Linked DNA regions of Stegostoma tigrinum. The protein of the gene in region 1 interacts with the protein of each later gene in a biochemical or structural test. Links are inferred from orthologs where the notes say so. Each region holds a gene or a part of one and is shown on either strand. Other genes may lie near its edges.

Region 1 (15,317 bases):
AATGCTATCTTTAATTTCTCTTGTAAACCAACATTTTGCCACCTTTCCTTTTACTTTTGCACTAGACAGGATTGTACAATGTTGCAATTCACTCATGCACTCTTTGAATATTTGCTATCATCTTTCCACTGTTATCTCTTTAAGTAACATTCCCCAATCATTGACAACTCAAGTGTCACACGATCATAGTTTCCTGTACATTCAAGACACTAGTCTCAGACTCAACTACATCACTGATGATGAATTCTATAATATTATGATTGCGCAAAGAGCCTGTCAGAACTAGATTGTCAATTATTCCTTTCTCATGACATAATAGTCTAGGACTATCAGAAGAAAGTACACTTATCCACACCTAATCCTAGTTGGTTGCCAATACTGAAAGGACCCTCAGGATGAAATCATATCCCAACAAATTTAATATTCAAGTCAAGGAAGGGACCAGAGTGTGGGGAGAAGTGAAGATAATGAAAAATACTTGAAAATAGCTACTGGGTCTGTTGTCTATTTTCTTTACCACATTTTACAGAGAGGTCAATAATCATGGGTCAGAAGTTTAAGTAATTGACAGAACTGTTCAAGGCAAATTGAGCAGACACTTTGTTTTTAACCCAGGGAGTGTCAGGGGATCTAGAACTCTCAGCTTCAGAGGGCAGTGAAAAAAAAACCTGCACGTACCTTTGATGTTCTATATGTGTCACGGCTCAGGATCCAGACCTGGATCTCACATTGAATCGTAGAATCCCCACAAAGTGGAAGCAGGCCATTCAGCCCTTCGAGTCCACACCAACGCTATGCCTGTAACCATGCATTTCCCCTGGATAATCCACACAGCCTGCACATCCCTGGACACGAGGGGCAATTTTAGCATGGCTAATCCACCTAACTGCACATCTTGGGACTATGGAAAGAAACCTGAGTGTCTGGAGGAAACCCACACAGACACAGGGTGAATGTGCAAATTCCATACAGACGAATAATGTACCAGAAATGTTGAAGAGTTGAACCTGGGTCCCTGACACTGTGAAGCAGCAGTGCTAAATCACTGAACCACCATACCGCCCTTCTTTTTAACTGTAGAGACATAATAGACCGAATGACCTCCTCCTGCGTCACAAGTTATTTCTATGTAACACCTATACTGTGTAACCACAAATCAATCATTAGTCAATACAACTCAAAACAAAATTACGAGGATCACTCAATTTCTTTTGAAGATGAGAGATTTTTATGTGAATGCATGAAATTCTTCAGTATCCAAGGAAAATTTGCTGACCACAATAAGCAATAGCTTTGATCTCTGAAGTCACTTAGATGAAATCTCACTTCCGATAACAATTCAGAATTAGCATTTTCCAGTTTTAAACCAAGCAATCACACTTGGATGAGGTAACTAAGGAAATTTAGATGCATTGTACAGGGCTTTGGTGAGACACACCTGGGGTATTATGAATGATTCATTTATCAATTGTATTGACATTTTATGGATAATTTCATGCAGAAGAGTGCTTTCTGCTGATCAACATACAAGCCAGGAATAGGTCCTAGTCTGATGAACTGAACTGCAACCCTTTAGGCTTGTCCTGCTTTTTAAGTAGATTATAGATGATAGGCAGCAAAGTGTGCTGTGCAGAGGACACAAGGAGGTTGCTAACAAATATAGATAGGTTTAGTGACGGGGCAAAATTATGGCTGATGGTGTACATTGTGGGAAATTGTAAAGTTGTTCATTTTGGTTGGAAGGACTAAAAAAAAAGCCCTATTTAAACACAGAACAAGTGCAGAACCTTGGGTACAAAGGGATCTCAATGTTCCAGTACATGAATCACAAAAAGATAGTACGCAGATACAGATAGTAATTAAGAAGGTTAATGGGCCGCAATCCTTCACTACAAGTGGAACCGAAAAGTAAGGAGGTTATGTTTCGTTTATACATATCATAGATGAAACAACTTCTCAAATATTTTATGCAGTTTCGGTTGCCTTACTCAAAGGTTGAGAGGGATTGGTTAGGTTAGCAGAGGTGACTGGGTGGCTGGTATGTAATACAGAGTAATGCCAACAGCACAGGTTCAATTTCCATTCCAGCTGAGGCCATCATGAAGGTTCCACCTTCTCGATCTTGGCCCCCACCGGAAGTGTGATAACTCTCAGGTTAAACCACCATCAGTTGTCTCTCTCTTATGAGAGAAGCCCTATGGTCCTCTGGGACTATGGTAACATAACATTATATATTTAAGGTTGAATGTAAATGTATTGGAGGTAATTCAAAGGAGATACTAAATTGATATCTGGAATGAGCTGGCTGTCTCATAAGGAAAGATTAGATGGGCTGGGTTTGTTTTCACTGGGTTTATGAAAAGTGAGAGGTGATTTGATTGAAATTTACTGAATGGTCGTGACAAGGCGTTTTCTCATGCGCATGGATACAGAATTTTGGTCTTTATACTGCATCCCCCATCAAGACTTCTCACTCATTACTCCTGTTATTAGAAACACACAAGCCAGCTCTCCAAAGCTTCAGGTTTCCAATGAATTCCAACGAATTTTTAAATGTATTCATGGCCCTCTTTGACCCTCCTTAGTTCCAAAAGCACCTCCAGTTCTTCAATGCCCATCCTACAACTTAGATTTACATTCATACCTTTAATTTGTGAACATGTTGCAAATACTGAAATGGTGGAATATTTTTGTTCACTCAGCATCTGGGCTGCTTTGGCAAGATGCACTTTTACATGCACGTTATTGTCTGAAATATTTGACAGTGACAGTACAGACTCCCATTTATTTCAATTGCATTGTTCACCGAGAATCTCTCCCACTCTTATCATCTGACATCGTTGTTTTGGAAAGATTTCCAGGATGATACGTGAACTGTTTGCCTGCCCTACGAATAAACCTTCCTTGGCCATGAAGTCTGAACTGAAAGGCATAAACCTAGAGCTTGTGTGTCAGTGGCAGAGATGCTATCTACTGTACACAATTTCTCTCCACCTCACCCCACCCACTCCACCAAGTATTGCTCAGAATTGACAAAACTAGATATCAGAGCGAATTAGAAAAGGTTGTTCAGAGATACATTTTGAGCAGTCCCTTAAAAGAGAAAAGAGAAATAGTGAGATCAATCGGGTCTGCTTCTCAGTCTTCTCTACTGAGAGAAAAACAAGCCCAGTCTATCTCGTCTCTCTGGATTGCTGAAACTCTCAAGCAACTTCATGGTGAATCTCCTTTGCATCCTTACTCGTACAATCACATTCATCCTATAATGTGGCAACTGCAGTGTCACAGTACTCCTAGCTGTGACCTAATTAATGTCTTATATAGAAGGATCACTGGACTAGATGTTTCTGATCTGCTGAGCTTCTCCAGCAATTTCTAAATTTTCAGATATTCAGCTTGGGAAATTCTTTGTTTTATTCCAAAATAACCTCCCTTGTCATGTATTCAATGCCTCAAGTAATAAAGGCAAGTATCCATGTCTTCTTAACCACCTTATCCACCTATACTGTTGCTTTCAAGTATCTGTGAGTATTTATTACCAATGTTGCTCTGGTTCTTTGTACTTCTTAGGGTCCTTCAATTCATTGTGTACTCCCTTGTCTTTTTTGTCATGCCAAAATGAATCACCTCACACTTTACAGGATTAAATTCCATTAGCAAATGTTCTGCTCACCTGACGAGCCTGCCTATATTGTAGTCTAAGATTCCTTACTATTTAGCTGATGAATTTTCAAGTCACCTGTGAACTCATCAAACCTCCTGCATTTTGATCTAGATCGTAAACATACACTACAAGCAGCAAGGAACCCAACACTGAACACTTCACTATGCCAATAGACACAGGCTACCAGACACAAAAACAGTCTACTGTTATCCTCTATATCCTGCCACTAAGCCAATTTTAGATCCAATTTGCCAAATTGTTCTGGATCCTATGAACCTTTTGACCAGTCTTCTATGTGAGGTCTTGTCAAAAGCCTTACCAAAGTCTAAATAGAATACATCCACACATTCTGGTCACCTCCTCGAAAAACCTCAATCAAACCTATCAGATACGAACTTTCCCTGACAAACCCATGCCTACTATCCTTGATTAACCCTTGCCTCTAGAAATGGAGATTAATTCTGTCCCTCAGAATAATTTCGAATACTTTGCTTACAACTTTATCCTGGCCATTCTTCTTGAATTCTGGTACTATATTAGGTGATAGATATAGTACAGATGTCAAAGGTAGGTTCTTCACTCAGAGTAGTAAGGGCATGGGATGCCCTTCCTGCAACAGTAGTAGACTTGCCAAGTTTAAGGGCATTTAAATGGTCATTGATTAAACATACGGATAATAATGGAGTAGTTTAGGTGAGATGGGCTTCAGATTGGTTTCACAGGTCGGCGCAACATCGAGGGCCGATGGGCCTGTACTGTGCCATAGTGTTCTATTTTCTATTAGCTGGCCTCCCATCTTCTGGCACCTCTCGTGTTCATTAGTTCCAACCCACTCAACCTCTTCTTCCAGGAATGCACCCAGTGAACCTTCTTTGAACTACTTCCAATGTAATTATGTCTCTGTTTACTCAAGATACTAAAATTAAACACTGGTCCATGTACAATCTCACCAGTGGCGTTTACAGTTGTTAGAAGAAACTTCTTTTTTAAACTCCATCCTGATTGCTATAAAGGTGGAGATGGCCAAGGCTAATGGAGGGATTTGAAAACAGGAAATAAAGGTGTTGTTTGGCTGGGAGCAATAACAGGAAGAATAGGTTTTGGTATCAACTGGGACCATCAGTTACCTAGTTGTTGTAAAGATATATGGGATGTCCTGACCAATTGAAAGTCAGCATCTAAACAGCAAAATCAAAGACTATGCAGAAGTGTCCGACCAACAATTGAAATTAGCCATGGTGCAGGTTTTCTCCACTGAATTGGCCAATCAATAGACTCCAACAATTTTCTTTGTTTTAATCATTAAGCTGTTTTACCAATTTGCTGATACTGGCAAATTTGATTCATCTGTCCTATAAACCATACCATCTTTGGTCAAGGTGGTGATGTTTTCAGTTTAGTCATAATTTTGATCACATTCCACACACCATTATCAAAAACAAACAATCTTTAGGACATACAAAAACACTAAGAACTTCAGGTCTGAAACAAATGAAAACAGAAACTGCTGGAATAGCTCAGCAGGTCTGGTAACATCTGTGGACAGAAAACAGAGTTCATGTTTTGAGTCCAGTGAGCCTTCAATAGAACTGAAAGGAGTGAGGAAATATTGATACTTATGATCATGAGGTGATAGGGGTGGGGTAGAGAGGGGCAGAGATGCCCAGTAAGAGGGAAAAACAGGAAGCAGACAAATGAATTGTTGTTAATAAGCCAGGGAAGAAGAGATGAAAACAGGGATAGGGTGGGCTATGGGGAGAGCAACACATACAGGACAGGGTCTGGGAGTTTGGGGTGAATAAGAGACATTGGGGAGGTGTTCATATTCAAAAATTGTTAAACTCAAGTGTTGAGTCAGGAGGGCTGTAAAGTGCATAGGTGGAAAGTGTGGTGTTGTTTGTCCAGCTTGCATTGAGTTTCTCTGCGGTACTGCAATAGGACTGAGACAGAATGGGAGGATGGGAATGTGTGGTGTGTTAAAGAAGTAGGCATTTGGAAGCTCAGGGTCATTTTAATCGATGGAGAATAGGTGTTCCACAAAGTGGCTGCTCAATGTGCACTTTGTCTCCCCATTGTAGAGGGGACCATATTATGAGCAGTGAATACAGAGTACCAGATTGAATGAAATGCACGACTTCATCTGGAAATTGTCTGGGGTTATAGATGGTGAGAAGGGAGGAGAGAAATGGGTGAGTTACACACATTCTGCAATTGCATAGGAAGGTGCCATGGGCACATAGAGAGTGTTGGAAGTGAAAGGGGAACAGTCCCTGTGGAATGCTGATAAGGGAGGGGCATGGGTGTCTGGCAGTCACATCCTCCTCAAAATTAACAAATAGCAGCTTATGATCTGTGGAATGCAGAGGCTGGTGGGGTGTAAAGTGAGCACAGGAGGGCACCCTATCTTTGCTGTGGGATAGGAGAAAAAGGGAGGGGGTGAAGGGAGAAGAGCAGAAAATGTTAGATATGACTGAGGTCACTGTCGACCACAGATCAGGAGAAGTTGGATGTCTGAGGCCATCCCAGCACTGTCAGAAGATGGCATAAAGACAGATGCAAGGAGAAACTGGGAGAATGGAATGGAGAGATAATGGGAACTGCAGGTGCTGGAGAATTCCAAGATAATAAAATGTGAGGCTGGATGAACACAGCAGGCCAAGCAGCATCTCAGGAGCACAAAAGCTGACGTTTCGGGCCTAGACCCTTCATCAGAGAGGAATAGAATGGAGTCCTTTTAGCAGGCAAAGTCTAAGGGTATAGTGAAGGCAACTGTGGGAGTCAGTGGGTTTGTGATGGATTTCTGTGATTAGTTTATCCATAGAAATGAAAACAACTGTCATAGAAGCCAGAAGTTGGAGATAGGCAAGTGATGGAAATTGGAAGCAAAATTCATTTTGTGCAATCCCAGACATTAGAAGGACGCAACATAATGATGTACCTGAGAGAGTTGTGGGCAGGAAATGCAGCAAGGAACTTTTAAGACATTTTCATCCCTTCAGATGCAAATCTATCAAGTAATACTCGAAAATAAATTTCGCATAACATTTAGTAGACTTTTTTTTAAAAAACGTATCTTTCCCCGCAGGACGACTCACATTCAAATTAGCTCAAGCGCGCGCGCCCCAACGGCTGTCAAACTGGGCACCGCCCTACTGCGCAGCCTCACTCGTATCCCGTCTGCCTGGGCTGACGCTATCGTTGGTGAATGGCGCATGCTCGCCAACAGTCGGGTGACGTCACTCCAATTTTTTTTACCCTCGAGTCAAGCTCCGGTTTCCTCGCTCCCTCTACTACGCAGGCGCGATGAGGCGAGGTAGCGGGCGAATCCCGGGCGCCTGAGTGAAAGGCTGGTGCAGTGCGCAGGCGTGAAGGCGAAAACAGCGTGCCGTGCCCGGTCACTTCTTCGGAAGAGGAGGAGTAAGAAAGTGGGGTGGAGGAGGACGCGACAGAGAGAAACAGACGGATTGATGTGCGCAGCCTGTTCTGCGCAGACTCCGCACGACAGCGTAGAGAGAGCGAGACGGACCCGGGCGAGAGAGAGGAAAAAAAACAGTTTGAGCGAAGAAGCGGGGGGAAGCTGCAATTCAGTTTGACAGCCGTAAAAAGAAACCTCTGGATTCTCGTCTGAATGGTCGCTATTAGCCCACCGTGTCGAAGGCGACTCTTTTCAGGGTGAGTTGGTGTAGGTTTGTAATCGCTGAGGTTGATTAAATACAGCGTTCGGTGGAGAAAAAGCTGAGGCGAGGAAAGCTTCTTTTCAGATTATGTGGCCGCTGCCTTGCTGTGTGGTAATAAAATGGCGCCCGGCCGTTGGTAAAACATTAAAACGGGGGACCTTCAAATGATCCGGCTCCGTCGCTACCTTTTTCTCTACGACCTTTGGGTATGTTTCAGACGCAGTTCCTCAAACATCATAAAGTCGCCGACGTGGCCTCATAAGAAATGGACATCCATTTTCTTTTTTGTGTATTTGTTTGGAGTTTGACCCAATTCCTTTCTATGTCGAAAAATGCAGGTTGGTATTTTTCTCCCTTTATTGCTGTGGCCGACGCCCGGATACATCGTACCCTAATCCCTTAATTTTCATTTTTTTTAAACTGTGCGTAATAGAATGGATGAGTGTACTTACAGGTTAGGAACAGTACTGATGAGTTTGGGTGGAGTGAGGAGAAACAAGATTTTTTTTACCGCAGGGTGGATCTTGACTTGAGACGCCCAAACAGGGTGTTATTCAATTATTATCAATATGTATATTAAAACAAATGTATATAATCGCCGATTTTTCTATATTTTACTTTTAATTTGGGATTTCATGATTTTTAAAAGAAACAATGCAATGTTTATCACCGTTTTTTCGGCATTAGTTTAATATTTTCATGATCGGTGCAGTGCCATGAGCCACATGTATCCTGTTTTCTGGTGATGCAGGATTAACATTACGACGTTTTTTAAACCTGCTTCTTCTTTGTCAGCTCTAGTTTTCAGAATACCCATCACTTTATGGATGCCCATAGATTTATAATGTGTGGACTTTTTGGATCATTTTTAATTTGGAACCTGATCTTGAATTGTTTGACAATAGTGCATAACCTTGCTTTTCAAATTAATATTTGGTGATATCAACATAGCTGCTCTTTACATATTAAAAACATAACAGTTAACCAGGAACAGTACCAGCATTATTTCATGTTTCTGCAAATATTTGGTCACTTTTACTCAATCAGTTTGGTAAGAAGCAAGGAAGTTTCACTTAAACAGACATATTCCAATCAGTATGACATCTTGGGTCAAGATCTAATTTCGTGTTTTTTGTAACTGACTGTAGAAAGTTGCTTGTGATCATGCTTTGCTGGAAATTATCTTTGTAAAATTGAGAAATGTGGTACAGTAACCTAAGGTGTAAATTAGTGTTTACAGCCAGTGAAAGAAAAGTAATCCAGGAATAAGTTTACATATTGAATTAGAAACTTAAGATTGGATGATGAACTATTCAAACTCTTTTTTGTACTTAAATGAGAAATCAATCAAACTGTCTTTTAAATGCAGAAGCTCAATGGTAATTCTTCCATTAATTAGTGAATAAGTATGTTTGGGGTTTGAGTCCCAACGAAGTGGTTCTTTGAAATAATAGAAAATATATAATGACTTTGTTGACATGTCAAGTGGTGAGAAATGTGCACGAGGTAACGACCACCAGAGCCCATCTATTTTCAGATTTTTGGTTCTAATGGGTTTCCAAAATTTTATATTAATGTCTTCAAATGTTCCTTTGCTTTTGGTAAGCTTGCACAAAATATGATCAGGACATCCAGACAGTTTTTTAAAATTCTAAATCTTAGTGTGAAAATGTAGAAATTAGAGCTGATAGATAATTTCAAGTAGTTCAGGGAACCATTTACAACAAAACAGAAACAGTTCTCTGGACGTTGACAATCTGAAAAAAAGGTAGAAAAATGACACATACTCAGCAAGTCGGGCAAGCAATTTGGAGAGAAAAGCAGAGTTAATGTTTCAGCTATGCAACCTTTCATTACAACTTTTGATCAAAGGTCTCAGAGATCCAACACCTTCTGCAGAGATCTGTTTTGTTTTTATCTTTAGTTTTCTGTTAAATCAGTGTAAGCAGTTTGCAAGGATTTGCAATTAACTGTTTGCTTTCCATGGTTTGTAGTAGCTTTTTATTTTATTTTATTTTCATCTATTCTTGAACAGTGGCAGTGCTGATTCTCTACATGGAAAATTTGAGTGGTTCAAAGTGAAGCAGACAATTGAGCAGAAGCAAGGAGATTGATGTGAAATTCCTAATTCTATTTTTGTTTTCAGCTATGATGTTCAACCATAAAAATCTCAGTTCAGAATACACGTTGTGTTTTTTTACAAAGTATACATTTTTCGTCGGTTATTTCAGTCACCTTGTTCAGACATGTTATGTCACAGCTGTGGTGAAGGTGTTGCTCAGTCCTGGAGCTTTTGGCCCAGAGGTAGGGTAATGGCTACTGCGCCACAGGGGTGTTAAGCATAGTCTGGGATTCTGGGTGGCGAGTCGAGTGACATGACCACTCTGCCTTGGTGGGATTTGACCCCACATCTCCCAAATATTAGCCTAGAGTTCTGGATTACCTATCTGGTGACCTGGAAGGGGCACCTGTATTTTACTTTCTATTGATTCCGTGAAAGTCTTTTAGCTGTTAGTTTTAAATGGATGATGCTGAGCTAATAGACCGAATATTAGCATTGAGAGCCTGGCCATTGTCTTTCTGAAAGGCTCCCAAAATATCAGTACTGTCAACATTCAAAATATTGTTTCTCTAAATACTTTTTAGAAAATATATCAGCAAATATTTTTATGCTTCATTCATGTTTGCAAAATGCAATCCATAACTTTGTTATTATGGGAGGCAATGGCCTAGTGGTATTATTGTTGGACTACTAATCTAGAGACCTAGGTTCTGGGGACCTGGGTTCAAATCCTACCATGGCAGAACTTAAATTCAATAACAAACTGGAAGTAAGAGTCTGCTGATGACGTTGAATCCATTGCTGATTGTTAGAAAAGCCGGTCTGGTTCACTTATGTCATTCAGTGAAGGAAACTGCCATCCTTACTTTGTATGGCCTACATGTGATTCCAGACTCTCAGCAATGTGATTGACCAGAGAGCAGTTGACAGTCAGTTAGGGATGGCCAATAAATGCTGGCCTAGCCAGCAAGGTGTATGTCCCGTGAATTAATATATTTTAAAAAAACTTCTGACCTTGAATTTACCTATGTAATACTATGTTAACATATATCTAATTTCTCCGCAGCTGAAAATGAACTGATAGTGCCCTGTTTATGAATACAGTGTCATTAGAAATTACATTGCATATGAAGAATTCCAATATACTGGTAGCATTTCAGTGGACTTCATTTTGAACAGTTTCTTGCCGTTATGTTTCATATGATTTCTTCAGTTACTTTGAACAAACATCAGCTTAAATTGTAAGATGGGAGCAGTTTCAGTGCTGCTAGTTAACCTCCAGGAGCTGCTCCTGCTCTTCATGTTTTTGCATGGTGCTTCCAGATGTGACTTGAATTCAATGATTTCATGTGATGAGATGTACAAAACTAAATTGTGTTCTGATGTTTCACTTACCAGCTATGCCATCATGGTTGATTCTATTTTAAGATTATGTAAACTTGAGCTTTCTGGAATGCTTGTTGAGATTTTGTTTCTCATATGTAGTTCACTGTCCTTGATGAAAACCAACCTAAATGTCCACATTTATTTTGAGTTTGACTGAAGTGGTTCTTTTGGTGCTTAACATTTTACCAGAATTGAAAAAGCCTATTAATTTGATTATTGCAAACTTGCAACTGATTTGAAAATTAACAGGCTTTACGACTGAAAAGTATTTTGCTTGATCTTTGGTGATTTGTTGTTATGTATAGTGTGACCATTGCTTTGAGAGAACCACATGTGAAAGGCATCCGAACTTAGTTGAATGAAATTGAATTGCTGATCTTGCAAGTACACCCAGTTAGGATATTGAGAGCTTGGATTTCGTGGCTTTGCTTTTGTTTGTATGTAAATAAGCTCCAGTTGATTACAAGCTTGAATAACTTCAGGAAATTGCTTCTGTCCTCTGCAGAATCTTGGGTATTTGATAAAACTGCTATTCTTCCTATTCTTCACTTGTGACACTGTTTTCACAACTGGAATCCAAGCGTTTCAAGTTTGTGTTGTAGTTTTTTGATCAGTGCATGTTACTGTATTAACCTCTATCACTTGCTTAAAGTAGGACAATGACGGTACTGGAAGACTGCATTTCAAGATATTGAACGTAAATGTTGAGTTTACACAATAAATGTAACACATTGTCTACAAGTGAGCCTGATTTGTAGGCAAATCATAATTTGATTCAGAATGTGTGCAGGGACTGGGGATTGGCAGCAAATTTGAGCTTGCAAATTCAAGAATCATCAAATTCTAAGTTGCGCATCATTCTTTCTCTAGTATGTCAGTCTGAGAGAAACTGAACACATGGTTAAAATTTTTCAAGTGCATTATTTTTGATTTTCTATTGTGGAGGATAGACACCGTTATAGTCAGCCATACAGCACAGAAACTGACCCTTCAGTCCAAACTAAGATAGTCCCACTTGCCTGCATTTGGCCCAATATCCTTCCAGATATGCTGACTGAAATGTCTTTTTTTAAATGTTGTAACTTCCAGCATCCACAACTTCCTAGTTCATTCCACACATGAACCACTGAGAAAAATGCCTCTCATGTCTTTTCAAAATCTTTCTCCCCTCAGCTCAGAAATATGCTCCCTAGCCTCAAACCCCCTTCTTGGGGAAGAGACCCTTTGATTCACTTTATCTGTACCCCTTACAATTTTATAAACCTGTATAAGGTCACCCTTCAACCTCCATTGGGGAGGGAAATTCCCAATCTATCCAGGATCTCTTTGTAGTTCAAACCCTCCATTCCTAGTAACATCCTGGAAAATCTTTTCTGAACTCTGTTCAGCTACCTGAACAGAATGTTGTTCTTTGCTACAATAAGATGACAGGAATGCACACAGTACTCCTGAAGAGGCCTCGTTAACAGCCTGTATGAGCTCAACATGATTTCCGGATTCCTATACTCAAAGGTCTCAGCAATGAAGGCAAGCATGCGAAATGCCACCTTAGCCACCCTGTCTGCATGTGATGTACCTATACAAGGGCCAAACATACGAGCAAATCAGTGGGACACCTGTGGGATCGCCTATCTCCGGACTCATAGCAGAAGCAGTGACGCAAAGAGTGGAAAGGACTGCTCTTCCTCAAATCCAACCTAAACTGTGGATTCAGTACCTAGATGACACCTTTTTGTTTTCATTTAATGGACCAAATTAGAAGACACACACAAACTCAACCAACACCCTCACCAGAATAAAATTCACCAGAGGAGGGAAGAACAAACAGCTCCCATTCCTGGACGTCATGGTCGAGCACAAGACAAATGGGGAGCTGCAAATGAAAGTACGTCATAAAGCCCCACACACAGGCCAGGTATTGAACTTCAACAGTAACCATCCCAGCACACACACCCAAAGCTGTGTGTGAATGCTATTTAAAAGGGCAACAACAACACTGCGGCAACGTGGAACTATGCCAAGAGGAGGAGGAATACCTTTTCCAAGTGTTCAAGGATAATGGATGTTCAAAGAACTGGGTCAGGAGATGCCTACAGGAAGAGCATCAGAAAGATTTTACGCACTCTGACACACTCATCACACTACCCTACATCAGGAACATGTCAGAACTCACCACAAGACTCCTACGACTGCTGAGCATCAGAGTGGCACACAAACCCACGTCAACCCTACGACAAGTGCTCTCCCAAACTAAAGACCACTCCCCACCATGGACAGGACCAGATGGATGAACACAGCAAATCCCCTGCAGAGACTGCGAGAAACACTACATTGGACAAACAGGAAGGAAACTAACAACTAGACTACATGAACACCAACTGGCTACAAAAAGTCATGACCAATACTCACTCATCTCAATCCACGTGGACAAGAAGAACCACGACTTTGACTGGGACAACATGAAAATCCTGGTACAGGTCAGGCAGAGACAAGCAAGAATTCTTGGAAGCACTCCATGAAGCAGGCTATTAATAAACACATTGAACTTGACCCCATATACATACCACTATGGCGGAAACCTGGAAGTGAGGCAACCCATCTCAACGGACCCCAGAGTTTAAAAACCTGGCAGGAAAACACACCGATGCTTCATCAGAGGCTGCACTGAGAATGTTACCCAGCAAGGTAACGAAACGTCTGCAGGACAACACAGCTCAGCGAGTGAGCCAACCAACCTCAACACCCACAACCCGAGCTACAGATCTATTCCAAAACCTTGGGTGTACCTTTTCGAAAGAACTATGTACCTGAACCCCAAGGTGTCTGTTCTACAAACTACCAAGATCCTACTTTTAATTGGCAACGTTCTGCCTTTGCTTGTTTCACCAAAATGCGGTATCTCTTTCTTCCAAATGAAATTCCACCTGCCACTCCACAATGCGTTGACCCAATTGATTAAGATCTGTTTGTTATCTCAGATAACCTTCTTCACTACCCTCAATGCCATCAGTTTTGGTGTCGCCCACAAACTTAACAACCATGCCTCCTGTATTCTCATCTAAAGCATTTCTATAAATGACAGACAAAAGTGGACCCAGCACTGATAACAGTGGAACACTGCTGGTGACAGGCTTCCAGTCAAGAATCCACCATCACCCTCTATCTCGGGCTAATTCAGTCAGTTGGCAAGCCCACCCTGAATCCTAAATGATGTACTTTACTAGTTAGTCCACCATGTGGACCCTTGTCAAAAGCTTTAAAGTCCAAGAAAACACTGTCTACCTCTCTACCTTTATCAGTCGTCTTTGGTTACTTCCTCAAAAAACTCAGCAAGTATGTAAGACACTGTTTTTCCTTGCACAAAACCACTCTAACTATCCCTAATCATTTGTGGCCTTTCCAAATACAGATAAATCCCATCTTTTAGAATCACCTCCAACAACGTACCCAGTGACTAAGTTAGACTCGCAGGTCTGTAGTTCCTAGGCTTCCCCTTACAGCCTTTATTTAAACAAAGGCTCAACATTAGCCACTTTGCAGTCATCTGACACCTCAACCACAGTTAAATGATGCCCATATTTCTGCAAGAGGCACTACAATTTCCTCCCTAATTTCTCAATGTCCAGAGATGCTTTAGATCGAGTTCTGGAGATGTATCCATCCTTTATATTTCATAAAACCTCCAGCTCTTCTGTAATGTGAACTGTTTTCAAAACATCAGTATTTATTGCCTTGTGTTCTCCAGCTTCTATTTCTTTGTCCACTGTAAAATCTGTTGGAGGATATTCATTTTAATATATCTCCTGTCTCCGGAAGCTCATCATGAAGACAACTTCTTCCATCTTGAATGGGCCCATCGCTCTGCTCGCGTTTGTGCTCTCTGCTGTCTCACTGTTAATGTTACTGTAGAATCTCTTTGGATTATCTTTAACCTTATCTGCCAAAGCTGTCTCACCTTTGCTCTCCTGATCTCCCTCTTGAGAATGCCCCTACGCTTTTGCTACTGTTGAGATTTATTTAAACCCAGTTGTCTAAATCTGAGATTCTTTTTGATTCTTGACTAAAACCTCTATTTATATTCATCCATTGTTCGCTAATCTTACCTTACCCTTCACTTAAACAGGAACTTAATGATTCTGAACTCGCGTTATCACATTTTTTGAAAGCATCTGGTTTTGCATCTTAAGTTTTCTGTTCATCTATAGTATGTATGGTGGACAGATTGTGGTCTGTTTTTTGTAAGGGTTTCAAGAGATGAAACAGTCCTGGATAATTGGGGTTTAAATACAAATGAGACGTAATCTAATTGAATGATGAAACAAGTATGAGGGTCTGAATGACTGCAGTTCCTAGGTTTTGTAGCAGAGCATTCAGCTGTGAATGGATAGTTGAATTCACTTTTTTCGTGTGAGAAGAAACAATAACTTATTCCAAGTGGACAATCTGTAATTGTAGCAGATCTGAATGTCACTAATATTAAAATCAGTTGTGGATACGCTTAGCATTAGCTGAATATGTACAGTGTATT
Region 2 (15,604 bases), on another chromosome or scaffold:
GAGTTTCTCCAGCTACTTCTTTGTTTCAGCTTCTAGCATCCGCAATTTTTTGCTTTTTATTGACTGACTTCTATCACTTCTAGTTTTCTCCATCACTTGCACGTACAACCATTAACATACGAACTCTGTTGAACAAATAACATTTGTTACATGGGGAGACTGATGCAGGAGCACCAAATCAAATGAGGCAGAAAGAGTAACATTATTGCCCAAAGGCAGGATCAAATTCAAATACATTATGGACACTCTTAAGGGTGATCCCACTTAAGTGACAAATTGGGGTGCAGCCATTTATTGGTCATAATAAAGAGGCTTGACTAAAATACAATTGTTTTGTAATTTACTTTGTCTCCCTCTGTCAAAAATGTCTACCCTCAGGAAGCCTTTCAAAGTAAGTTGAACTATTAAATCCCAGAGTTTGAACTAACTAATTTTAGCCATAAGAGCTATTAATATTTTTGCTAACATAGTTTCTCGTTGGGTGGAATGTGCTGGGGCACAGTAGCATGTTGCAGGGAATTATCTCACAGCTGCTGCTGGGGTGCACTGCCCGTTTAGTCACCCAGACATGTAAGTGATGTAATGCTGGGGTCACACCCTGCTCTTGGAGGAACTCTATTCCCATGTGGCAGACAAGCGACAGCCAAGAAAATCATCCTCACTACTTTGGATCAACTCTGGCCCTGTTGACAATGGAAACAGAAAGTAAAGGAGAGAAACCAGCCGTTGGATTACTTTTAGCATTGAGCTGTCCCTCTTTAAAACACTCTCACCCATCCAATATGTCACGAACTGCTCTTTAGAACCTCCAACAACAGTGATTTAATACAAAATCCACAATTTTGCCCCTGTGCTACATGGTGGAGCAAAACAACTGTTTGTACTCTTCCCTGAGGTTAACATTTTGGAAATATGCTATATTTCAACCAGCAGACTAATTTTTTCCAGCTACCTTATTCAATGACAGATATATGTAAGGAGGCTCAATTATTGCTGTGTCAGACCTTGAAGCTTGATGCTTAAAATTTCCGTGAAATTGGTATTAGAGCAACTAAGATCAAAATTAAAACTAAGTCATATAGACTGGCTCTGCTCATGAATAATATGAACAACCACACAATAATAAGGATAATAACAGATGATAATACTTAAACAAACATTGAAATAAATAGTCAAAATCCACCAGATATTGAAACTTACATGAAAATATTGCTGATCATTCCAAAATAGTGATCATTTACATCAAACTTAAATCTGAAACCCAGTGTCATTTCTGACACTTTAATTAGGAATTTCAACACTGGTACAAAGAATGGATGGGAATAGGGATAGGAGTTTAAACATTAGGATTGAAAGGAATAATGAGATTGTTACAGCTCAACTACGCAATGAAGATCCTCCCTTTTGAATTCAGGTCAGTCAGACAATTAGACTTTGTGCTTCAACATACGCATTTAAATATGCAAACTTTAAACATAATGAAATCGGATGATATGATCCCAATGCTCCTACATATCGATCCCATCGTTACACGCTGTAAGGTGGCCCTGTACAATCAAACAATAGTTAGGCAGTAATATATAATCCGAGCTATTATACTAAAAACAAAATTAAAAGGAGCAAGGGAGATTATTTCTGGCATTATACCAAAATGATCAATTACTAACCTTCCTCCAGTTCATCAAGGCTGGTAACCTTCCCAAGCCCATCAATGGAAAAGATAATGCGAACTCCCTGTGGGAGGTTCACATTATCAGACAAGGTTCGGGTCAGGTCTGCCAGCAGGGCGTCAAAAGAACGGAAGCGATCTGCAGATATAGCATACACAATGCCCTTGAAATACCGATCTCCGTTACGGTAGAAGCGGACCTTCTTGGCTTTCTTCTCAGTAGTAAGGGCCTGCAAGGTTCGGGTACGGTAGAAACTGCAATGAGCGCTGTGTGTGGGGCTTGGTAAACCATTCATCCTGGAACCCTTTGAGTAACGTGTCTTGTCCCTTTCGTCAAAATGGCCGAAATCCAGCTCTTTATCTTGGAACATGCTTCAGTTAATTGATCAGATTTGAAGATCAAACAAACCTGCAAAAGACATAAGACTCAAGCTCACACACAGCAAGCATCCATGAACATCTGAAAAATCCCTGGTCATTATATATCCTAATACAAAGAATATTCCTTCGATAGTTGGACGAAAGCACTGATTTAACTGGAGATTTTTCAATAACTGGGAATACGTATTAAAGTCGGTGAAGGAATCATTGGCATCAACATCTGCCCAAACCATCTGCATTCCTTGAATATAAAGGTGTTTGCATTCTCACTCGAAGATCACAGGAGACTGGTATTGGAAATAGAAATATTATAGTGGACCAATAGACTTGTAATGAACCACATCGTTAGTGAACAAGAAGGAACTTTGCTCTGTATCATATCAAACAGTACTATACTCAACATTAAACTCCTAAGTTGAAAGGGCATTCTGATCTTCAGTCAAGATGAGTTGCTTCCAACAGAGGCTAGGAATCTTACAGTGAGTAACTCACCTCTCCAAAACCTGTACACCACGGCAAGGCAGAAGTCAGCAGTGTCATGAAATATTTGCCACTTGTCTGCATGACTGCAGCCCCAAGAAGCTTGACATCATCCAGGACAAAGCATCACATTCACAAACATTCAGTCAATCCATCACCAAAACTCAGTAGCAGCAGTATGCACCATTTCTAAGATGGACTGCAGAAATTCTCCAAAGGTCCTTAGGCATGACATTCCAAATCTATGACCATTACCATTAAGAAAGACAAAGTAGACCACTACCTGTATGTTCCCCTCCAAACCAGTACCGTCCTGATTTAGAAATATATCTTCAATATCACTGGGTCAAAATCCTGGAATTTCCTCCCGAATGGCATTATGGATCGACCTAATTTTTTAGACTTTAGAGGTTTAAAAAAGCAGCTCACTGCCACCTTCTCAAGGGCAATCAGAGACAGGCAATAAATGCTGGCCAGCCAGTGATGCCCATGTCACATGAATGAAGGAAAAGACACAAAGTTCAACAAAAAAAACCTGAGAACTTATTTTCTGGATACTCTCATCTTAGAGTTTATATTTAATGACATCTTAACAGCCTTTTAATTTTATGAAATGTTCTAATTTGAAAAATAAGTTTTAGCCTGCACAACATCATTTAGTGACGAAGAGCTACTGCTTGATTTAACCATTAATGGCTGATGTTAGGTTAAATAGAAAAGTTCAAATAAAACATGTTTTTAACATAGATGAAATCAGAAAAATTAATTTGTGATGGACTTGTCCCTTTGGGGCAGTGACTCCAGTTTTCAGTCACCAAGGGATTTTAAACAGCCATAATTAACCAGTAAACAGACCACATGAACACCAACTGCTTTCCCATTAATATTATTGAGCATGAAACTTCCAAACATTCCCCTTTATATCTCTAATGTGCTCACACTACTGAAATTACTAGGTAAAAAGCAGTAAATAGAATTATTTAAATACACTTATCAATTAATTAAAAGTGTAGAAATCAGTTTTCATTTAACCCAGGATACATATTCACAACTCCCAACATTTACCTCTATGCTGCATTCTGCCATAATCCTTCCAAAATTAATTTGTTCTCATGTGAATGCCGTTTCATGAAATTGGGACAGGACATTAATGAACAGACTGTCATTTATTATATAAACATAATGTACGTTTCAATACATAATACAATGAATTATTTTTGAAGTTCAGTCACTGTTGTTATGAATGCAAACATGACACCAATTTTAATGGCCCCAAAAACAGTTGTTGATACGAAAGACTATTATTCTGCATGTAGTAATGGTGGTTGTGAGATTAGCATTAACCAGGTCACCAGGAAAGCTTCTTTACTTTACATCCACCTGAAAAGACTGACAGAGCCTTACTTTGGCATATCATGTAAAATTCAAACAATATAGATCTTGCTCAGCAATGATTTGAAGTATTATCCTAACTAACCCACTTAGGTCTCGAGACACCGACTCGTAACAGAGAAATAGGAACATGAGCCAAATTGGTACTGAAAATTAAATTTAGTGCACTGGTAGATCAAGCCAATATTTGGAAAGCTAATGCACTTGATTTACCTGCAAGATATGTCATTTTAGTGCAATACCATTATGATGACGATAGCCCAGGCCTCTTCTAAACTCATCCATCTACCAAATGCACTGATACTCTTTTCATCAACTTAAATTTAGCAGAACCACATCTATAGTACTGAATTCCCAGACAGTTATTGGGACTAGATATCAGAATTTAATAAGTGTTGATGTCATGTCAAATTTCCATCAATGATTTCCCCTGTCCCAAAGGCTAGATTGAAACACAAATTTCCCTCACACCTCATATGAGTGACCAACCTTCACCCATGTCTACACATTAGTAAATCAATGGGGCGTAATAAATGCGACTGTGCCTCCCTTCACCCAACACACACTTTGCAAGTGATGTCAGAATGGAAATCCTGGTTAATATTTCTCCTCCCAAGGTTGGGGACATCAAGGATTGTTGCTGTTGTGCTGAGATTGAAGAAGGCACAAAGATTGAATATGGATCTCTGCAGTTTACTTGGCTTTCTCTTGGTTAAGCTTCCAGTGGATTAAAACTTGAGTCTTTAATGACCTGTGTATAATCATAATCAAGCAGCACCCTTGCTTCTATGCATTATTAATGAAGCTCACAGTGAATGATGACAGGACTAACCCTCTTAAATTATGGTCAGAACAACTACATCTCCCTCTAAAGGCATGCTTTAATTCCATGTTGTGGGTATGGTTTCATGATCAACTCACACTCATAGATGGAACATCTTTCTCTGTAACATATGAGCAGGTTTTGGAGTGAAACGTGTTACGTGATTCCTACCCAGATCCAGGATCATTGACATCATGGACATTTAAAGTGGTGATGCTGGGTTCACCTTGCGATGAGCTGTTGTGGGATCTGGACTTGACAGGCTGGTGCAGCAGAGGGGTTTTTTTGTTTGTTTCCCTCAAGTGGATTATAGACGAGAATTGGTGGGCAGTGCAGAAATGCTGACCTGTGCTGATCTAAATCCGGGAGTGTTGTGAGTGACCCTGCCTGAGGGAGGGAGCACAGCGTCCCAAAGCGACACCCTCTATTGAAGTGAAAAATCAAAATGTTAATTTTCACTGCAGCCCTGCAGAATGATGTGATCCTCAAAGGTGACCGAAACTAAAACACAAATCTGAGAAAATAAAATCACGAAAGTCATCGTTTTGTATATATAATCCCAGTTACAGCTGGAAATCAGAAACACAAGGAACATTTTCTCCTGACCCCATGCCTTAAGGTAACAATTTCTGGGGAGTGGCTTCTCCTCGCTCTGTGCAATGTATCTGATATAACGGTTTTCACATAAAATGTATTATTCATAAACGGCTATGTAAAGAAAGGGCAACTGAATACACAACACGGAAGGCTCATACTAAACACTTGTTAACAAAGGCGCGATAAATGAATCATTAAAAGCCGTCTCATCAGTTACTGTCAAGAACATCTTAACAAAGAGAACTCAGTATTGCGATTTATTGAACATCGTATAATTTAAGAAAATATACATAACGCTTGCTGACAAACGGGATTGTCAATTCGTTTATATAAAATCCCATGATCAATGGAAAAAATTTGTAAGGTGAAGCGATCTGCTTGAAGGGAAGACACTATTGTCTATTAACACTTATCTGCAATATGTATTTAACAATAGATTGAATGGGAAATGTTAACTCTCAGGCGGTAATCCTGAAAAAATACTATGGAACGACTCGTTAAAAAGGTGAGGAAACATCAGGTATCTAGCAATGAACTCGAGCTGTAGAATAAAATTTGAGAAATCTTATCGTCTCCATGTATCAACTGCAGAGACACTAAAATAAATCACTTTTCAATGAACATCGACTAAAATATCTTACTGCAGAATGCCAAACCCGAACTCGATCAAAGTGCTACAGCAATAGTGCACGTATGTCTATACAGAGATAGATAGAGATTGCTTCTTTTTGTCTCTGTCTTTTACTTACAGCAAAGGAGCAACTCACCAAATTGTGTGCAGTGTGGACAGGGTGTGGATGCAGAAAGAAAAAGACAATCCAAGCCTGCTTTTGTTGTCTGCGCTCTGGCTGGCCAGACCCACAACGGGAGAAATCGTGGCTTCTCTGGGTCCTATTGCGAGTTGAAGCCGTCTTCCACTAAAACTGTTGCAAGCGAGTCCCACGTTTCCCGTTCTAGCGCCTCGCAGGGGTCGAATGAATGAGAGACGAAAACACAACATACATTATATATATACCTGTACTGCAGCGGTACCCAAAATGGACCTCAATTCTATCAGTCAGCACATTGGGCTAATTGTTTTATGGTCGCATGTTGTAAAGCAATATCGAAGAAAACGAGACGTATGGGGAATGATTCCTTCAAATCAGAACAATGTTTCTGTTGTTTGCAGAATATTTCTGTTGCCTTAGAATTCTACATTCTGCTACTGCAGAAAGAAAGGCCTTCTCACACCTCAGAATATAACAAAGCAATTCATATAATATAACTTATAAGTACAGAGGCGAGCAGAATAAAAAATGTAGTCAGTTTCTTTGGATTCTTTGAATAGGCTGTGGTCAGCTACCCCGAAAACACACACACAAACACTCCAATATTTCATGCTCAGGGTAACGAAACCTGAGCTGTGACAGTATAACTTCATCCCAAATAGCTCCATTTGCCTATCACATGTGAGGCATGTCTCCATCATATTTACAAAATATGTATCCAATGGCATCGAAGGAGGTTCATTGAAGTCTTGCATTCCCTCTGCCCCCTCCCCGCCAGCGGGTGGTAGTGTTCGGGGGAGGGGTAGGGAAAGTTGTGGGGGAAGGGACTGGTAAAAGAGAGAACGATTGGGAGAAGGACAGAGAGTTGTGAGCGAGAACAGAGTTTGGGGGAGGCAGTGAGAGTTATGGGGGAGGAAGACGGAGTTTGGGAGAGGAATTGGGTGGGGGAGGGGAGGTGAAGAGAGATTTTGGGAGAGAGAGTGTCAATCCCAACCACTTTGTATGAAGGAGGCTCTGTCTCACGGATTGAGACACGTTCTCCAGTCATGAGCGTTTAAACATTCACACTCGCCTTTAATTAAATCCGCAGTACGGAGAACAGGAAAACTGACAGGAGACTGATTTACACTGAATCACCGCCCCCAAGCGATTCCCGATTTGATACAAACAACCTGGCGTTTGCCTAACACCTAGCTCGGTAGTATGTGAGGTGGGAGGTGGGACCCTGGAGGAGTGTTGTAGTCAATAGAGAAGGGGACAGGCTGGGGAGCAGACATTTAGATCTCTGCGGCGCAGTGATTAAGGAGACATTGGAAATGCAGGTGGGCTGGTCACTGTCTAAACCACCACGTGTCAGATCCTGCTTCTTTTTATTAAATAAAACTGTTAACGATATGACAATTAACAAAATAAAGCATTGTCGGGTTTACTCAGGGAAAGAGGCTCTTTGAATATCTCACAAAAACATCTGACTGCAGCAAAAGGAGTGGAAATTTTATTTCTCTTTTTGGCTTCAATCAAAAGGCACTAAAAGGGCTTGCTCTCTCATTTCATTCTCACTGCGACTGACACATATTTTACAAAAATGTTACTGCCTGATGAAGTTGTGAGCGTCATTATGCTGTGCGTTTACTGAACAATGAGATTATGACCCAATATCAACCAATCTTTTGACGTGCAATTTTTATATAATGTACGCCTCTATGGCAGCGTGTTTAATCGTTGCTTCCAGCCTCTTATATCATTGCATTTTCATTAAAACAACATATGCTGTTCTAGATAACAAAGTGTGAGGCTGGATGAGCACAGCAGGCCGAACAGCATCTCAGGAGCACAAAATCTGACGTTTCGGGCCTAGACCCTTCATCAGACAGAACATATGCTGTTCTCTCGTGTTTAACTTTAATATTAATACCTGCATGCCAACATTTACACTTTATGGATTTCTTCAAGGTAATTTTATATAATAATGCAAACCACGTCTCCGGTCATAGAATTTAAGACCCTCAGAGAGTAGGTATGGATTTTAAATCACTGCTTTATTGTTAGTAAATCTCAATCTATTGAAGTTGCATCTGTTCATTGCCAAAATGCTTCTAACGTGAGCGGGACCATCCTGTTCAACTTCTACCTGAATTGTAGCAGACCCTCCCCGTCACGATGTATTGTTGCTATGCTTCAGCATTCAGGCCCGTGAACACATGGAACGGAAGAAAAAGGCAGCTTCATCTCAAGCTCAACGAGGAATGAGAGAGAGACGTGACCTCTGTTGGTGGGCCTGACGTTGCCCCCACCGGCCCCAAGATCACCGAGCAAGGTCAGCCTACGGCTGTGTCATCTCAACAAGAGCCCCTTACACTGCAGAAAGTCCCAATCAATCAAGAAGCTAGCAAATTTAGATGGAGCACCTCGGAGTCACTGCAAAGGAGCCTAGAGAGAATACATTGAGTGGAGTTGATGCAAGACTGGGGTCTCTTGTAGAAAGTGTGCTGAATCATCTGGAAATGGTTTTTGTGAAATCTTAGAATATGAACTAGAATCTGCGTCAGACATTCCTAAATTATGTGTCTAATTGGAGGCAGAAACGGTCATCTCATTCCGATCATCATGTCCATGGTCACTACTTTTCAAGGGACATCTAACTGAGTGAGCTAATGGACACAAACACGAGAATATAGGTTAGAAACCTTCCCCGTGGTAGCAAATCTTTAATGTGTCTAAAAATTCTCTGTCCAGAATTGTTAATAACTCAATTTAAAAGAAATGAATCAACGGCTACTTTAAAACAGTGGTTTTACGATCTGTTAAGTGCACTGGTATCAGTCTTGCCTCTCAGCTGTGGATTCAAGCCCCATTTTGAAGCATGAAATCGCGGATAATTTTCGGTGCAATTCTGACCGAATTAATTTTTCTTTTGAATTAATTGTTAAAATGGGGCCAAGCCTGCACTCCAAGATGAATGGCAAAGATCCAATGACACTTCATCATAGAATACCAGGGGAGTTCTCCCTGAACACCTAAAAGCAAATAATTATCACACTAAACAAACAAAGAATTGCGAATGCTGGAAATCTGAATCAAAACAAATTGCTGGAGATACTCAACTTGTCCGGCAGCATCTGTGCAGAGGAAACAGAGTTAACACTGAAGAAGGGCCATTGAATTGGAAACGTCAACTCCGCTTTCTCTCCACAAATGCTGCCAGACTTGCTGAGTTTCTCCAGCACGTTCTGTTTTTGTTTCATGATCACTGTTGTTTAGGGCATAACACAGTATGGAGCTGGAAGAATACAGCAGGCCAGGCTGCATCAGAGGAGCGGCACTTCATATTCCGCCTCGGGAGCCTACAGCCCAAAGCTTGTTGCGTGCAAATTGAATGTCGCTCTTCCACCTGATGCCTCTCCATTTGCTTACAATGTAGACTTTCTACTGTTTTTGTTACATTTCAGAAACATTTCTATTATCTGTTTGTGATAATCACCATTGGATGTTTTCTCATACGTTATGAAGCACGTTTATTCTTGTTTACTTAATATCCAGCAAAGATTGTTCCTAGAGTAAATACCTTTTCTAGTTCCAACACCAAGTGTAAAGCCAGCCTGTATTTTAGCAACCTCTGCTTCAAATTTCTTTTTATTATAGTTATTAAGGTCGCTTTAATGAGATAACTAAATAATCTTTAAGTTTGTTAGGTAATATGACTAATGAATGCCTCAAGTCAATTAGTATGTATATTTTTGTACATATTTGATTTCTGTTATCACTTCTAATTCCTCCAAGGGTTTTTAGATGTTTTGTTGTTACTTCATCTACGACTGGAGCTATTCCTGAACTCAATTTGCCTTCATTCTTTAGCTCTCAGCTCTTTATCCATCTTTATATCTTTATATCCTACTTTATATCTTGAGGTCTCCTTCAATTTAGATTATGTTACAATTCACTCATATATTTAGCCCTTTGTTTTCTACTGAACCCAATTAAAACATTATTTTACTCTAATGTTAACATCAGTTTTTAATCCTTCTCCCTACAATCAAAGATTTAACCTGGCGCATAATCTTCATTACAATTTACACTGATACAATGGATCTTTTGGTTGGTCCCTCATTTTGCATTTGCTAATTCCTGAATAATCCAAATTACATTGAAAGGGTGTGGCAGAAATAATGCAAAGTGACACTGCCAGAACTGTCCTGCTGTAAATCCCAAATGGAAAATAAAAGCATCTACCTTGGTGAATTTTTCATGATACAACTCTTTTAAACTGGCCTTTTCTTTTCTGGCACTTCTGCAGCAATAGTTTGGGTATGTTTGTTACTAAAGTAAATTCGGCCTGAAATCTAATAGATTCAGTGACAATCAATATTATTTTCTCCTTCATATCAGGTGGCACATATTGTTGATCCAAGCATACATTATTAGCTCAGTACAGGGGTTTTTCCATATCTATTTTCTGTATCTAAAATATCTGCAGATATTTTTGTGTATACTGTTATACATTAATAGTTTAAATTGGATATGGTGAGAGGACAGAGCTTTGATTGGCTCAATAGTCATTTTCAAGGAGAGAAACTTCAAAGTACTTTGGCGGAGAGGGATCCAGACGTCTTTGCACAACAATAGCAGAAAACTGGTAATCATATACCCCGAGCAATAAGGAAGGCAAACGGAATTTTGGTGCTTATTACAAAAGAAATTGAGTATGAAAGTAGGGAAGTGTTGCAACAACTGTACAAGGCATTAGTGAGACTGCACCTAAAGTATTATGTACAATTTTGTTCCCCTCACAGGAGGTTTGCTAAATTGACACCAGAGATAAGGGGCTTGTCTTAAGAAGGGAGAGATTGAGTATTTTAGGCCTATATTCTCTGGAGTTTAGAAGAATGAGAGGAGATCTGATTGAGGTATATAGGATGCTAAAGGGGATTGACAAAGTAGATCTAGAAAGTATGTTTCTTCAGAGAGTCTGTGTGGACTTGTTGGGCCAAAGGGCCTGTTTCCACACTATAGAGATTCTATGATCTATGATCTATGATTGATGATCTACGATCCATGTGGGGCAGCTTAGAACAAGAAGTCATATTTCCAGGTTTTGGGGTAGCAGATTTAAAGCATAGATGAGAGAAATTTCTTTTCTCAAAGGGTCATGAATCTCTCAAATTTACTACCCAAAGTGAGGTGCATATTGATACATTTAGTAAAATTAAAGAGGAGATTTTTAATAATGGATTGAAGGCTTATGGAAAGTAGGCAGAAAGTGGAGTTGAGATGAGGTCAGCCATGATCGTATTGAACGGTGGAGCAGGCCCAAAGGCTGAATTACCTATTCCTGCTCTTAGTTCTCATGTTTTTATATAGGGAAAGAGCCCTTAATATTCTAAAGCAGTAAGATCTTAAGATTATAGTCACAAACAATAAATTCTCAAACTGAATGAGGATGTCAACAATTTTCTGAACAAATATTGTATTCAGGACAAGTCATTAGCAGTTGAAGATATTTCTAGACATGCCCTTGGTAGAATGTGGGTGCACAAAACATTAGCATATTTGATACTTTAGCTGTAAATGAAATGAGATAAACCAGTCACTGTTCTATGCAGTATAGCTGCCGATGCTGATCTGCCAAACACTTGTTCTAATGGATTCTACATGTTAGCGAGTTTTGAGAAGATTTGTAGCTCAGGTTGAGGTTCTGGATGTGAGTTTGCTCGCTGAGCTGGAAGGTTAGTTTTCAGACGTTTCGTCACCATTCTAGGTAACATCATCAGTGAGCCTCCAACGAAGCGCTGGTGTTATGTCCCGCTTTCTATTTATCTGTTTAGGTTTCCTTGGGTTGGTGATGTCACTTCCAGCATTGGTGATGTCATTTGCTGTAATTTTTCTCAGCGGATGGTACATTGGCTCCAACTCAATGTGTTTGTTGATGGAGTACCGGTTGGAATGCCATGCTTCTAGGAATTCTCATGTGTGTCTCTGTTTGGCTTGTCCTAGGATGGGTGTGTTGTCCACATCACCAACCCAAGGAAACCTGAACAGATAAATAGAAAGCGGGACATAACACCAGCGCTTTGTCGGAGGCTCACTGATGATGTTACCTAGAATGGTGACGAAACGTCTGAAAACTAACCTTCCAGCTCAGCGAGCAAACTCACATCCAGGATTCTACATGTACCTCTGCAGGGCATGAGACAGGAGTGCACATTAGAGCTCAATAACAAGAGGCCAGGACTGTATGGGGACACTCTGTGCTTGAGTTAAGGTAGGAGCTATTGTATTTGGGTTGGGGGCTGCGGACCAGAGCCAACAGCAGCATTAGGATCAATGATCTCAGTACCTGCTCCTGTACCTATGTTGCTACTACTATGTCAAATGGAATTGACTAGGAGCCGATCTAGTAGCTCTAAGCTAAGCATTCATGAGGCACTGTGGGCCATTAGCAGCAGAGATCTATTCAACCACAATCTTTAACCTCTTTTCCTGGCATGTTTTTCAGTCCAGATTATCATAAAGCCAAAGAATCAACATTAGTTCAATTAAGACTGCGGGGGAGCATGCCCTGAGTAGCACCATAGATACTTAAAAATGAGGTAACACCTTAATGAAGTTATAACACAGGATCACTTGTAAACTGTCAGATGTATCATACGTCAGATAGAATGAGTGATTCAACAATTAAGTGGTTGAATTATATAAATTAAAAAACAATTGGGTGAGAACTGGATACATAAATATATGGGAGCAAAGAATAAGTGTGTTTGGAGTTTATGGCATGTGAACAAGAAAATAAAAGTTGACTGGGCAGTATATGAGTGGACTCTGTCAACCTGCATTTTAACCTCTGTATTTAACACTGCTAACCTATCTCACCTTAATTTAAATATAATAAAATGTGAGGCTGGATGAACACAGCAGGCCAAGCAGCATCTCAGGAGCACAAAAGCTGACGTTTCGGGCCTAGACCCTTCATCAGAGAGGGGGATGGGGAGAGGGAACTGGAATAAAGTTCCCTCTCCCCATCCCCCTCTCTGATGAAGGGTCTAGGCCCGAAACGTCAGCTTTTGTGCTCCTGAGATGCTGCTTGGCCTGCTGTGTTCATCCAGCCTCACATTTTATTATCTTGGAATTCTCCAGCATCTGCAGTTCCCATTATCTCTCACCTTAATTTAAATGTTGATACACAGAAATCACGTCTCTTTATATTCTAAGTTTTTAAATTTTAGTTTCAATTTTTTTTAACTGGGACTAATTTGAGTTCATTAGACTATGGACTATCTATGTGAAAAACTGAACAACGTTTTAAAAGTATTTTTTCTTGAGATTTGTACATCATTGGCAACACCGGTGTATGTTGCCCATCCTGAGTTGCCCAAGAGATAGATTGAAACATTCCATTACATCCCTAACTTGTGCTTAGCCGATGGTGGACAAGCTCTGGGGATTCAGAAAGTCAAATATGTGCCACTGACCTAGTGTTGAAGCCCCAATATTTATATGACAGATCCAGTTATGCTTCCATTTAATGCTAAATCCCCATGATGTTAATGTTGGGAGAATCAGCAATAGTGATGCCATTGAACATCAAAAGTTGATGTTTAGATTCCCTTTTGTTAGAGATGGTCATTGCCTGGCACGTCTGTGGCCCAAACACTTATTCTTTGCTTCCATATATTTATGCATCCAGTTCTCAGCCAATGTTCCTTAATTTATATAAATAGGTGTTAGAACCTACTAGGTGATAATAAACAACATGTCTAGAAGAGCTGGAACTGACCCCTAAATGCTCTATAAGCGAAGTTTGGCATTAAACTGGATTCACACTCCATACAGTGTTAAACGGAAGTGTCACAAAAGTACCCCTGCTGAGATAACACAGTGTGGAGCTGGAGGAACACAGCAGGTCAAGCAGCATCAGAGGAGCAGGAAAGCTGACGTTTCAGGTCGGGACCCTTCTTCAGAAATAGGGAAGGGGAAGAGAGCTCCAAAATAAATCAAGAGAGGAGGGTTTGGCCTGGGGAAGGTAGGTGGGATGGTGTTGGTGAGTGCTGGTAGAGAGTGGTGGGGATTAGTCGGTGAGGTGGGAAGAGCGCATAAGTGGAAGAGAAGATGGACAGGTTGTGTCAGGTCAAGGAGGTGCGGATGAGAGGGAAGGTCGGTCATAGAATGAGGTCTAGGGTGGGGAGATTTTGAAAGTGGTAAAGTCCATATTAAGACCGTTGGGCTGTAGGCTCCCAAGGCGGAATATGAGGTGTTGTTGCTCCAGTTTCCGCGTAGCATCATCGTGACTATCGAGGAGGCCAGGATGGACGTGTTGTCCAGGGAGTGGGAGGGGGTGTTGAAATGGTTCATGACCGGAAGGTGTTGTCATTTGTCGCGAACAGAGCGCAGTGTAACCTCCCTGCTGATAGTTTTCTTTCTGCATTGCAGCCAGCCTGATTTTCACTGTCAGTTTAATTCTGTCGTGAACCTGAAATAATTTTGTACCAGGTCAGATCATGTGGTGTGAATTAGTAACAACAATAGATCTGCCTTTATATGGTGCCTCACGTCAAAGCAGGGAGTCTGACATGTTGACATGATGCATCTAGTGTGTTGGTGAAGAGAGTTAGCATGCTTTCCACTTTTCTGTGTTCATTTTCTTTTCATTTTCGGCCTATAGCATTCATTGACAGTAAAATGAACAAGAGGAACAAATGTGTAACATTCTCTCTGTCAATATATGCACTGTCTCTATTGACAAGACTTCAATTATGTCTCCACGTGATGACACCCCTTGCAGCCACAAGCTAAAGCTTCAGAAGAACTTGAAAGAAGTTTGGCCCCTTGACATGCAGTGCGCAGGCCCACCAGGATGTGGAAATACCCTGGCCCTCACAAACTAAATTGTTAGCTACGGGTGAATAGCTTCACTATTTTGTGCGTGCCCCAGGAGTACAGAAGACTAAATGCATCAAAACCCTGACAAAAAAAAATCTGCAGTGATGCCTAAAGGCAGGAGATATCTCAATGTGTTGTCTTTTCTGACAACTCCTAAAAATCCTGCCAGTGCAAGCAAAGTGCTTAATGTTCCTTCAGACACAAACAGGGAGGTTGAGAAAGGGGGTAACACAGTGTGGAACTGGAGGAGCACAATGAGCCAGGCAGCATCAGAGGAGCAGGAAAGTTAACATTTTTGTCAGGTTGGGAAAGAAGAGTAACTGTGTTATCTCAGACTCCAGCATCAGCAGTCCCTGCCATCTCCAGTCCCTGAACAAAGGGACCATCATATTCCACTGATCTGCCACTGCCTACTTCATGTTTGGTAACCCCTAACTGATAGAGTGTTGACCCACCATTCTTTACATGCTTCAATGGGTCCTAACCTGTCTACTCAAAATGTGGATGGAGCCCATTGCTCCAGGCAAAGAAACAAAACAAATGAAGCAAGAAAAGATCTTTTGAAAACAAAAGGAAGACCTTTTGATTGGCAAAATGAAACATCAGGACCGCGTGTAC

Evidence for each region.
Region 2: the proteins of platelet-activating factor acetylhydrolase IB subunit beta (region 1) and neuronal migration protein doublecortin-like form a complex in vitro, tested with the Homo sapiens proteins (2 studies listed by BioGRID). The link is inferred for Stegostoma tigrinum from reciprocal best matches to the Homo sapiens genes PAFAH1B1 and DCX.

What each region holds. Positions count from the first base shown.
Region 1 is NC_081380.1:36,238,453-36,253,769, reverse strand, and holds the start of platelet-activating factor acetylhydrolase IB subunit beta, read left to right. Parts: upstream 1-7,069; 5' UTR 7,070-7,292; coding exon 7,293-7,336; intron 7,337-15,317. UniProt on the Homo sapiens protein: Regulatory subunit (beta subunit) of the cytosolic type I platelet-activating factor (PAF) acetylhydrolase (PAF-AH (I)), an enzyme that catalyzes the hydrolyze of the acetyl group at the sn-2 position of PAF and its analogs and participates in PAF inactivation.
Region 2 is NC_081368.1:24,968,534-24,984,137, forward strand, and holds the start of neuronal migration protein doublecortin-like, read right to left. Parts: upstream 6,448-15,604; 5' UTR 6,110-6,447; exon of another isoform or gene 6,092-6,109; intron 2,079-6,091; 5' UTR 2,041-2,078; coding exon 1,668-2,040; intron 1-1,667. UniProt on the Homo sapiens protein: Microtubule-associated protein required for initial steps of neuronal dispersion and cortex lamination during cerebral cortex development. May act by competing with the putative neuronal protein kinase DCLK1 in binding to a target protein.